Lepisosteus oculatus: one gene and its partner. The protein of the gene in region 1 interacts with the protein of each later gene in a biochemical or structural test. Links are inferred from orthologs where the notes say so. Each region holds a gene or a part of one and is shown on either strand. Other genes may lie near its edges.

Region 1 (5,372 bases):
GTCGAGGGAGCGGCCCAGGCTCAGCGCCGACTGGATCAGCACCTTCACGCTCAGCTTCATCATGTTCAGCAGGTTGCTCCGCTCCACCGCCAGGGCGTCCCTGCCTGCGGAGGAAAGACCATCGCACACCTCTCACAACGCAGCCCGCTGCGCACAGGGCAAGGAGCCCACAGCTCCTTCTTGACAGTTCATTTATCTTGCTAAGCACTACAGCCTGGTACGAAGACATGTGCTGGTTTGGTTCGTCTCCTGTTCTCCACCCCTCTGCGTTCGCTTCTAATAAAAGAGCAACTGTCATAATAAGAAATAAACATCTGCAAAGAATGAGCTGCACAGAATACAGAGCAGAGTTACTTTCTTCACAGAAATCTTAAGTGGAACTGAAATGTTCAGAGGTCAGCGAGTGACGCACCCTGCACGGGTACAGATACAGTCGCCAGCGTGTGACACATGGGGAGCTGGTTGGTGGCAGTGTCAGAACTGGACTCTCAGTCGCTGCAGGACACGGAAGGAAGGGAACTGCAGATGCCCACCACTTTGAGACGGGAACTGCTGATTTATGGGCGATGGGGAAAAAAAATTCTCCTGACTGAACAGCGTCATACGACCTGAAAATAAAAGCTTCCTATGTGAACTAGATTTCGACAAAACCTCACTTAAGCAATACTGAAATTAAAACCCACACAGAGCTGGCGACACAAATTCTGTAAATATGTGAACCCTCGGAAGGATTGTCTCTTTATACACAGAAATAGTTGTCAGTCAGAAGCAGAAGCATAATCTCATTACTGGGGTCTAGAATGTCAAAGTCCAAAATATAATGAGACATATTATAAAACCAAACAAATAATATTTGTCCCAACACTCATAAGTTTTTAAAGCCTCTCAGTATTGCACAACAAAAACCTCTCCTCTGAACTAAGATGGCTAATCTCCGTTTAGCAGAAGTAGATCACACGTTTCCTGGAAGAAGAACGCAATCTACCGTCTACCAGAGAAAGACATTATTTCTTTTTTTTATCTGAATTTGAAAAGCAAACTGAAAGGAACTAAATTTCATTCATCCATCGGACACATTCCATACTGTTATTCTGTCTCTTTTCTGGTTCTGCTCCAAACTTGCTACAAAGAGATGAAGAACTCAAATACTCGCCATGTTAAGACCTAGAATGGTCTACTACCTCATGATGGGAATCAGTCGCCCCCGTTAACAATGCAGCTACGCGTGTGTGGCTCTGCACCTGTGCAGCTTGAGCTTAACTGGCGAACTGGACGGCCTTCAAGCACGCAGACAGAGCGCAGCACTGGGCCTTTCAAGCTCAGACGTTCTCCCGCAGGCAGATGAGCAACACACCCTTCGTCTCGGGGCTGAGCCGATCACAAGGAGCATCGCCTTTACAAACTCCAGTGTGCGACTCCAGCGGCTCACAACAGCCTTTCACTCTCCACGGTAGTGAGATTCACACCGCTAACCACCCGACACCTCCACATCTGGGGCGTTTAAGGACACAGGGAACAGTCCCTGTCAGCCTTTCAGACCGGAGACGAGCGTCACACTGCAGATCCAGCACACATCCACAGCCATGCTCCGACACTCTGCCAGCACTTCCATTACTTCCAGCCCTTCCCAGCGCAGCTCCTGGCCGCCGGATGAGCCAGCATTGAGGGCGACTGTAGCCTATAGACCTGCGTTTGACTAAACCAGCAGTAGGGACCGTCACCCCGGTTTGAGACCATTAAACCACGTCACTGCAAACGAAAAGGAATTTGCTGGTAGTTCTACTGGGGACTATCTGAAGTCAGAACCACTGCACTGTATGCTCCTCAGCCCTAAACCTGCCAGACTGTCCTGTAAAACGTGCCTGGAAATATCATGGAAAAAGCCTAAAATGAGATCTGGAAAAGAGGAACTGTGACCATCACACGCCCTTGCAGTCACACCTCACTGTGTCATGACTTGAGCAGTGAGCAGCTATGCATGAGCTCCACTGAAACGTCTTTCTTGAAACTGCCCGCACCGGAGCGGTGAGCGTGACTTGATTTCCCGAACACTGGGAAACTTTCAGGACGCATAAAACCGATCGCACCATGTAGGCGTGCGCATTGTTCAGGAGCCTTGAATCCTGAGGTTCCGTTTCGAGAAAAGCGCACTCTGCCCCTGCGTGGCCCGAACACGCGGGGTGCGCGGGCAGGTCCGCGGCTCGTGCCCTCCCAGCGCCACGGCTGCAGACGCGCTGACGTCAACGAGTGAGCTTACCTGCGCAGGTACATCCGGACACACAACAACCGCACGGGCGACGTGCCGAAAACAAGACAGAAGCACAGAAAATCAGAGCAGGGAGCTACTTTACTCCGGCAGGGCAAGCTCCACCACCAAAGTTTCATCGGGTCGGCCAGCTGAAGTTTTTAGCTAGACAGGTGTCCGGCGATTCGGTGCAGTAACTAAAACGCAACTTTCACCGAAGGCGAGCAAGACGCAACGTCTGCGTTTCGCGCACAGAATGAAGCAACAGTTGGGAATACCTGGTTTAGGAGTGTGCCCGTCATTGCTGGCCGGGTGCGGCTTGGATGACAGCACCCCAGCAGCAGACGCGGCCCCTCTCAGAGCGCTGCTGTGGCTGACGGTACTGGACAGGCTCTCCGTCGCCCTCCTGGCCAGCGACAAAATCGGAGCCGACCAGCCGCCGTCCGGCGGGGGCTTCTCTTTCTGCTCCTCCTGAGGGCTGCCGACTGCACTCTCCGGTACACCTTCCAAAACTTCGAAGTCCTCCTTATCCTGGTCCCCCGCTCCGGTGTCAACACACCTGGCGTCTGCCTCCATCTTCAAAACATGTGACGCCAGGCCGAAGCAAACGAGCTAAGGGGAGGGCAGCGAGCAGACCTGAGCAATCGAACCCCGCTGGCTCGTCAGCTGGGGCTGATCCGTGGTCTCGAGAGCTCCGAATTCTGGCTCGCGCTCTGTCGGGTGGGAGCAACTCTCGCGCCTCCGTCTTGGTGGTGGTGGGGGGGGGGGGTTCACACACACGTCACACACACGTCACAAGGTGCAAAAGCACAGATCAATCATCTAATAAACTCATAATAATTCCTGGGGAGGACACAGCCAACAAGATACAAGACACACAGAAAAAAAAACGTCATGTCAAGACATATCGTATGACACAGAGACAATAGGTATGGCAAATGTTAAAGCGCGCATTAAAAAAAGAGAAATAAATTGGGATGTTAAATGAATAAACAAAGATTGCACGAGAAAGTCACCCATGAAGCTATATACTGATCCGAACGGCACAGTTTCAATTTAACACGCAACACAGAAAGTGGGATTAACGACATGTTCCTAATATGCAGAGGTCACTGTGGCTGTGGACATGATTAGGGTATTAGACAAGATTCAGAGAATGCATAGCGACACGGCAACTTAGGTTAAAAATAAAAAGTTAATGGTCAATGACAGCACGTTAGCAAAAACCAAAGACCCCAGGAAAGAGGGCTGAAATAATGGACCTGCTTTAAGACTTGATTCCAGCTGAGAATATTGATGATTGTCTAATAATAGCGGTGTAGAGTTCCAGATTCACCGGCTCTGTACTGTGACCTGTCGCCTCCAGGAGAGGCTCTGTGTTTCTGATGCAAGGTTATTTCCAGTCTGTTGATTGGAACAAGGAAACATATCAGGTAAAGACGGTCCACTAGGCCGCGCAAGAGGACTAAAAATGTCATTAATTTACGCATTAGAGCTGCCCCCTTCTGCCCCGTTATTTTTCTTATATTTAAATAAAATAATTATAAGTGCTTCTGAATATAAGAGTAATCATAATGTGTAAGAACTGTAACAGTAATCATAATGTGTAAGAATCATAGCGTGTGTTTCTTATTTAAATTAATCGATAGATACACGTCAATTTGATGTAGACGTCCCGTCACGCTCCGTGCTCTAACATTAAATACAAGCTGGGAAATTATTCGACGGTGGGAAACCCGCTTCCCGCCACACGGTGGCGCTGTCGGCGCGCCCGCCGCTGCGCGCGTCCCTGGGCGGAAACGTGGTCGGGACGAAGCGCACGTGGGTGGCCCAAGCGCCTGCTTTGCCGCTGTCCCGGGACAGCCGGGCCTTTGCGAAGCTGCTGTGACGTCGAGGACACGGCTTCTGCTTTGCACTTGTCCCCGACTGAGCGTGTGCGCCCCTGTCTACACGCACCCTGAATTCTGCCCCACAGGAGGCTCGCTGGGAAAGCAGGCTGAAGGCAGCAATCACAGTTTACTCATCAAATGCACAACCATACAGCGTGCAGCAGTAGTGTCTTCAAGCCGGCTCCTCGGTGCAAAGACCTGAGCTCTAAACACGCTGCTGTCGGCTGCCCTTAAACTCGGGGAACCTGGCGCCCACGGGTCATCCTCTTCTTGTTCAATTCGCAGCGATGGAAGGGATTGGTCTTCCCGAGTTTTAGTCATCTTTCAGTGCTCTTAGTGTTAAGGGGGGAGATAAACTCGTTTCCTATTTTCTTTAAGAGTCTGTTCCCGATATTCACATTTATAAGCGTCCGCACCCTCTGCGAACACAGACGAGTCGAGGGAAGAATAAACCCTCTTACACGTTGCATCATAATCACAGACTCTGCTTCGTTACCTTTTGACCTTTTCAAATTATATTTCATGCAAATCGTTTAAAAATGATCTGACATTCCCAAGGCTCACCATGAACTGTGGGTCTGTGTTTTGCCAAAGCTAACAACACCAGTGTGTGTTCTTCCGGAAAGGAGTGGAGTGGAGGTGGGCGTGCTCTCGCTATAAATGCGGGCGAGAGCGCCTCTTGGCCAGTCAGTCAGGCTGGGAGAGCGACTCGGTATCTGTGCGAGAGGACTTGCGGGAAGGAGCGGCGCTTGGAATCAGACGGGACTTTAGGAGCTAAAAGCAGGTTACCGACGGAGACGCAGTCGCGTTTTTGGATTACTACCGAGTCTGAAGACATGAAGGTTCTCGCTGCGACAATCTTGGGGCTCTTCTGCGTGGGTAAGTCACCCCAACAAGTTCTCCACTTGGGTTGGTGCTGGGGCGCTTTTCTTCATCGCCTCTTCCTTGACTTGTGTGCCTGTAATGAGCAGCTCCCTCCCGTGTTCCACAGTGACTTAGATGGAGAAAGAGAGTACCCTGCACGGGGCTTGGGTTAGGCACAATGCTCTATTCCGAGAGTGAAATATCACCTCCCAGACGCAAACGCACTCTCGACGCTTGTTAAAACCTACTCTTTTTTTTTCCCCCACGTCTGCCGGGATAAGAAGAACACGCATTCGATCGAGAGCAAATTCAGCAGTGTAAACGTGGGTACAGGCTTGTGAGAGTAGCCGGGTTTCCGTGAATAACCGCCTGCC
Region 2 (5,372 bases), on another chromosome or scaffold:
AGCAGCGCTGTATCATAAGCTCTACGCTAAAAATATCACAAGAGAATAAAAACATATTACGACGGGAGCATCACAGAGCAGTATACAGGGCTCCAGACCCTGGCTGGAGAGCTGTGGGCTCAAGTCCCCTTGAACTGGGCTCTCTACCTGACTGCTCCAGCTCACCAGGGTTACTGGGTTGGGTGGAGGTTAACCACTAGTTGAGCCCAAGCAGGGTCAGCACACGCACACACATGCTCGGTGTGCTCAACGCTACAGTCACTGGGATAAGATCCAGCCCGAGGACCCGCCAGGCGACGGTTTGGATCGGATTTGAAACCACGGAAATGAAAACAGTTCAATTCCCCTTTCCGGCGCATAGATAAACGAGGTTTGTTTAACGCAATAAAGACACTTCAGGTCGACAGCCGCAGAAGGAGTGCGTTAAATCATCACCACTGTGGCAAATAATACATGATCCCGAGACACGAACAGGCTGTTTTCACAGCAAACCGCCTGAGGGGACACAGCTGGCACACTGCTGCCAGATCACTGACATTTACAAGCATTTCTCTGATTCTATTATTGAGAAATAAAGGTGCCTTATTAAGCATTCACACCCCCCCTAAAAAAAGATTTCAAAGTAAACCATTCAACACAGGTGCTACATTTACACATGCATACAAAACTGAGTTTTATCTCATTCTAGAACCTATAAACCACTCTCGACTAACGGAGACCCATGAGCAAAAAGATCATTTATGAAGAAATTCCCTCTCATCTTTATGAACATAACCGATACCCCAACAGCGTAGCGCCTTGTAGTGACTTCAAGAACTCTGACGCCCCAGTCTGAAACAGCAACAATCTACGTCCGTCACATAACTAGTTATTTCTCACACGCTCCTCATACTGCGAGATTACAGCACCATCCATTTTCTAACTGCTTCATGCAATTCAGGATCGCGGGGGAGCTAGATCCTCTTCTGGCACGCAACAGGCACAGTATACAGTTAACCCTGGAAGGTAAACAGACAAACAGTGCCTCTGGACTGCGGGAGGACACTGGAGTGGCCAGAGGAAACTCGTGTGAACATACAAACTCCACACAGACAGCACACAGAGTTTTCCAGAATTACATCTGGGCATCACAGTGAATTAAGTCCTGATTAAAAAAAAATGTGTAAAAGTTAACCAGAGGTAGGAAATTGTACAACCCCCTCCCAAGTTAACAGAAAGGTAAAAGTACCTGAAATTAAGACTCCCCTAGGTCACGGCAAGGTCACTAAGCTCACCTGTACATTTTACATGCCTGCCTGTTTTTTTTCCCCAGTTGTAATATAATTGGGTGGAATGGTGATCTTGTCATATCTATGGTAACAATGTACACATACAAGAACCCGAGGTGTGGCATCCACAAGCAAGAATATTTGAGAAGCCTTTGTAACCCGGTTCTCTGTGGATGGGCTTGTGCATGGCAAGATGGGAAAACACAATCAAAATGAAGTTTTAAAAAAAAAATAACGAGGTCATCCTGGGATGCCCCCTGCATCTTTCATGACGGACGAATTAAGGACCGCGAGAGTGTTCTGGGCTAAGCTGGTGCAAAGTGCACTATACCAAATCATTCAGCTCCCTTTTTTTTTTTTTGAGGCTGCCGATTTGGGCCTGTGCTTTGCCCACACACACACAAAGCAAACTAGAAGAAGAAAGATCGCTGCAGTTTTAAGACGTTAGCCGACCTCTCTCTTTCAAACAAAGTACTTCAACGCGTCTGGAGTGCCATACACGGCACACGCAAAGAATCCGTTCCTCACTGAGTCACTGCCGACAAGCAAAAGGAGAAGACTTCCTGTGAGAAATGCCATAAGAATCTCCCAAGCATAGAGAATGCTAGCATGTGACCAACCTGCCTTGAGCTCCTGCCAGTTCAGCACTTCCTCTCCCTGACAAGAGCGAGACCTCACCATCTCTCTCCCTGCAGCTGAACACACTCCTTCCCTCTGTGGCCTACTACCTGACACTCACCAGGCACCCCTGAGCTCCTTTAAATGACTTCACGTGAAATGAGGTCAGGAAATTGCGAAAACGGCAGGGGCTTAAAATATCGTTTTTTTTTTACAAATCATGACTCAGCAGTGCATTATCTGCAACATCTCCACCAAACAGCGGCTGACATGCTCACACGGAACGAAGCCAACCGACACCCCTCAAGTGAAAACCTGGTGGCTATGTTTTCAGTTTCCCCACGGCAGATCCTCAAGAGCTCTCACTTCTCCACCTGACCTGGGGGATACACCCCCTCCTGTGTGTGCAAGAGTAAAACACTGAGGTCCTTCAGGGCGAACAGCAGGGGATTCGTGCACACGATTCTTCAGATTTTGTCACCCTCATTCCTAGGTTTTTCACCTTTATCATAATAAAACTCCCCCCATCTTTCAGAATCAGGCAGAAACTGTAGTCTGCTCCAGGATACACAATCCGGGTGACCTCACAGGGGCCTGGATGCCGACAGAAGCAAAACCAAGTAGCTGGAAATCCTTGTAAAACGTGTTTTCAGATCTAACCCTTCTCGGTGGTACATTCGGATCACAATCTGCGGCACACTGAGCATCCGAGAGCCGAAACTCTAGCGGGCTGTCTTCAGGCACGAAAGAACACACCCGATCCTGCTTAGAGATCCCCCAGCTGAAAAACTGAATCAATCGATTTCGAACAGAGATCCAGAAAAATCCAAGAAACCAGGGATAACACTCTTTCTACACCCGTCTCGTCCTGGGCTGTCTTTTGGAAAACCATTCAAAAAGGTGGCCAAGAACGCGTCAGAGCTGTGTAAATTGGTCTTCTGAGTACGGACCATTGAAAACCGGCTTTACAGAGACGACAACACAGCCGAGGCCTAAGAGACCCTCGCATGCAGCGTCTTGCAATAGAAATGCGGCAGAAGGGGGGTAAAACGCTTCTTTTGAACAGTCGTCATTGTCCATTTTATTTGCAGCTCGGCTACGCCTGTCAACACCGTATACCTTAACCGACCCGGGCCTGCTGTCTCAGCTCACCGGGACTGAGGGGCAGCGCAATGCCCTGCAAGCCTAAGAAATCGCCGTCTTCGCCACAATTTCACAAGCACGCATTGATAAGACCGCAGGAGAGGCTCATGAAGCGACACGGACAGCACACCCCCACCCCACATATCTCTCGCATGACAAATCAAAAACATGCTCTGCACCTCCAGCGCCGTGACAGCAGCACCGCTTGAATTCAGATCGCGTTTGCAGAAGGGAGGGGGGGGACGGATATCTGGCCGGCGACCCGGCCGGTGTTGTTGTCACTTCATTACACCCGACGCTGTCACCGTTTAAACTTTAAACCCCTCCCAGCCGGGCCGGGGTTGTGCTGCTGCCCGGCGAGAGCTGCTAGGCCCGGCCCGCCTCCTCCATCAGCACCGGTGTCGCCGCTCCAGCCCCCTGACACAGCACTGGGGGGGACAGGACCCCCAAACGTGCCGCCACGCAGCGGACGAGCGACAGTCCCTGTGCGATGGGCACCGAGAAGCGATAGTCTCGATATTTCAACACCCCCCCTCCCCTCCCCGGTATTCCTCGCCTCTTATTCAAACGGCAAACAAAATATCATGAGACCGACCTCTTCCGGATAGAGAGACACCGAACAAAAGCCACCGGCCAGCGCCGCCCGCAGCCCCGCAAAACGAGCGAAAACAAGAGGGGGGAAAAACCGACACGAAACGTCGACAGTCACCTTCCCGGCGTGCAGAACCCGCCGCCGTGCAGGAATGGAGCGGACGGGCTTGCCGAGCCGGATAATATTCGCGATCTGGGTGTAGTCACCCCCTCCTCCTTCCTGCCTGCCTTTCTCTCCCCCCCCCGACGACAAGGGAGAGATTCTCATCCAGAGGCGACCGCCCGGCTCCGACAGCCGCCGGCGGGGCGGCCCGGAGGTCCGGCCCGGCCCGCTTACCGTGATTCCGAGGGCGGCTGCGTCGACTCGCTCCGGCGCTGTGAAGGGATCCGCAGGGCGATCCTGGGCTGAGGAGTCTGCCGATCCAAGATGGCGGCCCGCGCTGCACAGGGTTTCCTCCGTCACACACAATGGGCCTGGGGGGACAAAGGGCAGCGGCGCGCGCCCGGCGCCCGCGCGAGGCGCGAGGCGCGAGGCCACGGGCCACGGGCCACCGGCCACGGGCGTCCCGTCCCGTCGGCAGCACTGCGGAAGTATCGCCGTGCACGGTGTGCACTCAGCTTCACGGTGACACCGACACGGCACTGTGCTCCTACAGAGGGGAGAGTCCTGTGTCCCGGACTATTCAAAGTAATAATAATAATATGAATCAGTTTCCCTACGGGATCAATCAACTCTTATCTATCTCTATCTCTCTGATGATACAGCGTTTCCCTACGGGATCAATCCACTCTTATCTATCTCTTATCTCTCTAACGACACAGCTTTATTTTCTATAGCGCCTTTGAGGGCTTTACAGGACGGCGCCAACAACAGGTGTGAAGGCGTGTTGGCGGACTTTTTGGAAATGTAAAAACGTGAAATGAAAACTGTGCGCACCTTACTGGCTCTTGACTCTGTTTTGTCAAACGGACGATGTTATTGATATGTTGTATGTACTCTTGTTTGCGTTGTATTTTCTTTCGACTGTATTTCTACTATTAAACCCTATCTTTATCAAAATAAACGACAGTACAAGGACTGGACTTGTATTATTATTGTGGCTTTCACCTTCAGAGGTTTTTTGTAAGTGATGAACATGTAAATTAAATAAATAACGTGAGTTAGTTACTAGATAATATCACAGGAACTCTATTAAAGAGGTGAGACCTTTGTTGTACATTTCAGTAAAATACATGGCAGTGATAATAATATTTCACCTTGTTGACCAGTTTATAAACACTGACACTGTGGTATCACGTATGAACAACTGATTTTATAGTACGCCTCTCAGTCATAAATCTAGTTTCCAGACATGATGGTAATGTGAGAAAGGGCCTCTTTTTCAGAGGATGTGATTGTTTTTCTGAAGTGACTCAAAAGATTGCAGCGTCTGCTCTGGATCAGGGTCTCGTCCGGGTAAGGATGCAGATCTGGCTCCTGCAGGGTGCCTGGGACGCAGGAGCCAGGAGGAAGTGGTCAGAGACATCACAGCTGATCAGAGCTGGGGGTGTGGACCTCGGCGAGGCAGCCCTGCTAACGGACAACAAGCAGGCTGCACATTTCTGCTCTCCCCCGCGGCTGGCTGGGGAGTTTCCCCGATACAAGCTCCTTCTGCTCCACTGCTGCAGCCTGTCGCACCGCCCTGTGAAGCTCAGCGTTGAGCACTGCAGCCTCACAGCCCTGGGTTCAGTTCCCGGGGTGCTGTCTGTGTG

Evidence for each region. The genes of interacting proteins can lie anywhere in the genome.
Region 2: the proteins of rufy1 (region 1) and ras-related protein Rab-14 form a complex in vitro, tested with the Homo sapiens proteins (2 studies listed by BioGRID). The link is inferred for Lepisosteus oculatus from reciprocal best matches to the Homo sapiens genes RUFY1 and RAB14.

The regions. Positions count from the first base shown.
Region 1 is NC_090706.1:41,098,280-41,103,651, forward strand, and holds the start of rufy1 (RUN and FYVE domain-containing protein 1), read right to left. Parts: upstream 2,990-5,372; 5' UTR 2,822-2,989; coding exon 2,524-2,821; intron 105-2,523; coding exon 1-104. Other genes in the region: hbegfa (heparin-binding EGF-like growth factor a), read left to right, coding at 4,971-5,013. UniProt on the Homo sapiens protein: Activating adapter involved in cargo sorting from early/recycling endosomes. Regulates retrieval of proteins from endosomes to the trans-Golgi network through interaction with the dynein-dynactin complex.
Region 2 is NC_090719.1:14,694,131-14,699,502, forward strand, and holds the start of ras-related protein Rab-14, read right to left. Parts: upstream 3,906-5,372; 5' UTR 3,739-3,905; intron 3,697-3,738; exon of another isoform or gene 3,625-3,696; intron 3,582-3,624; exon of another isoform or gene 3,209-3,581; intron 1-3,208.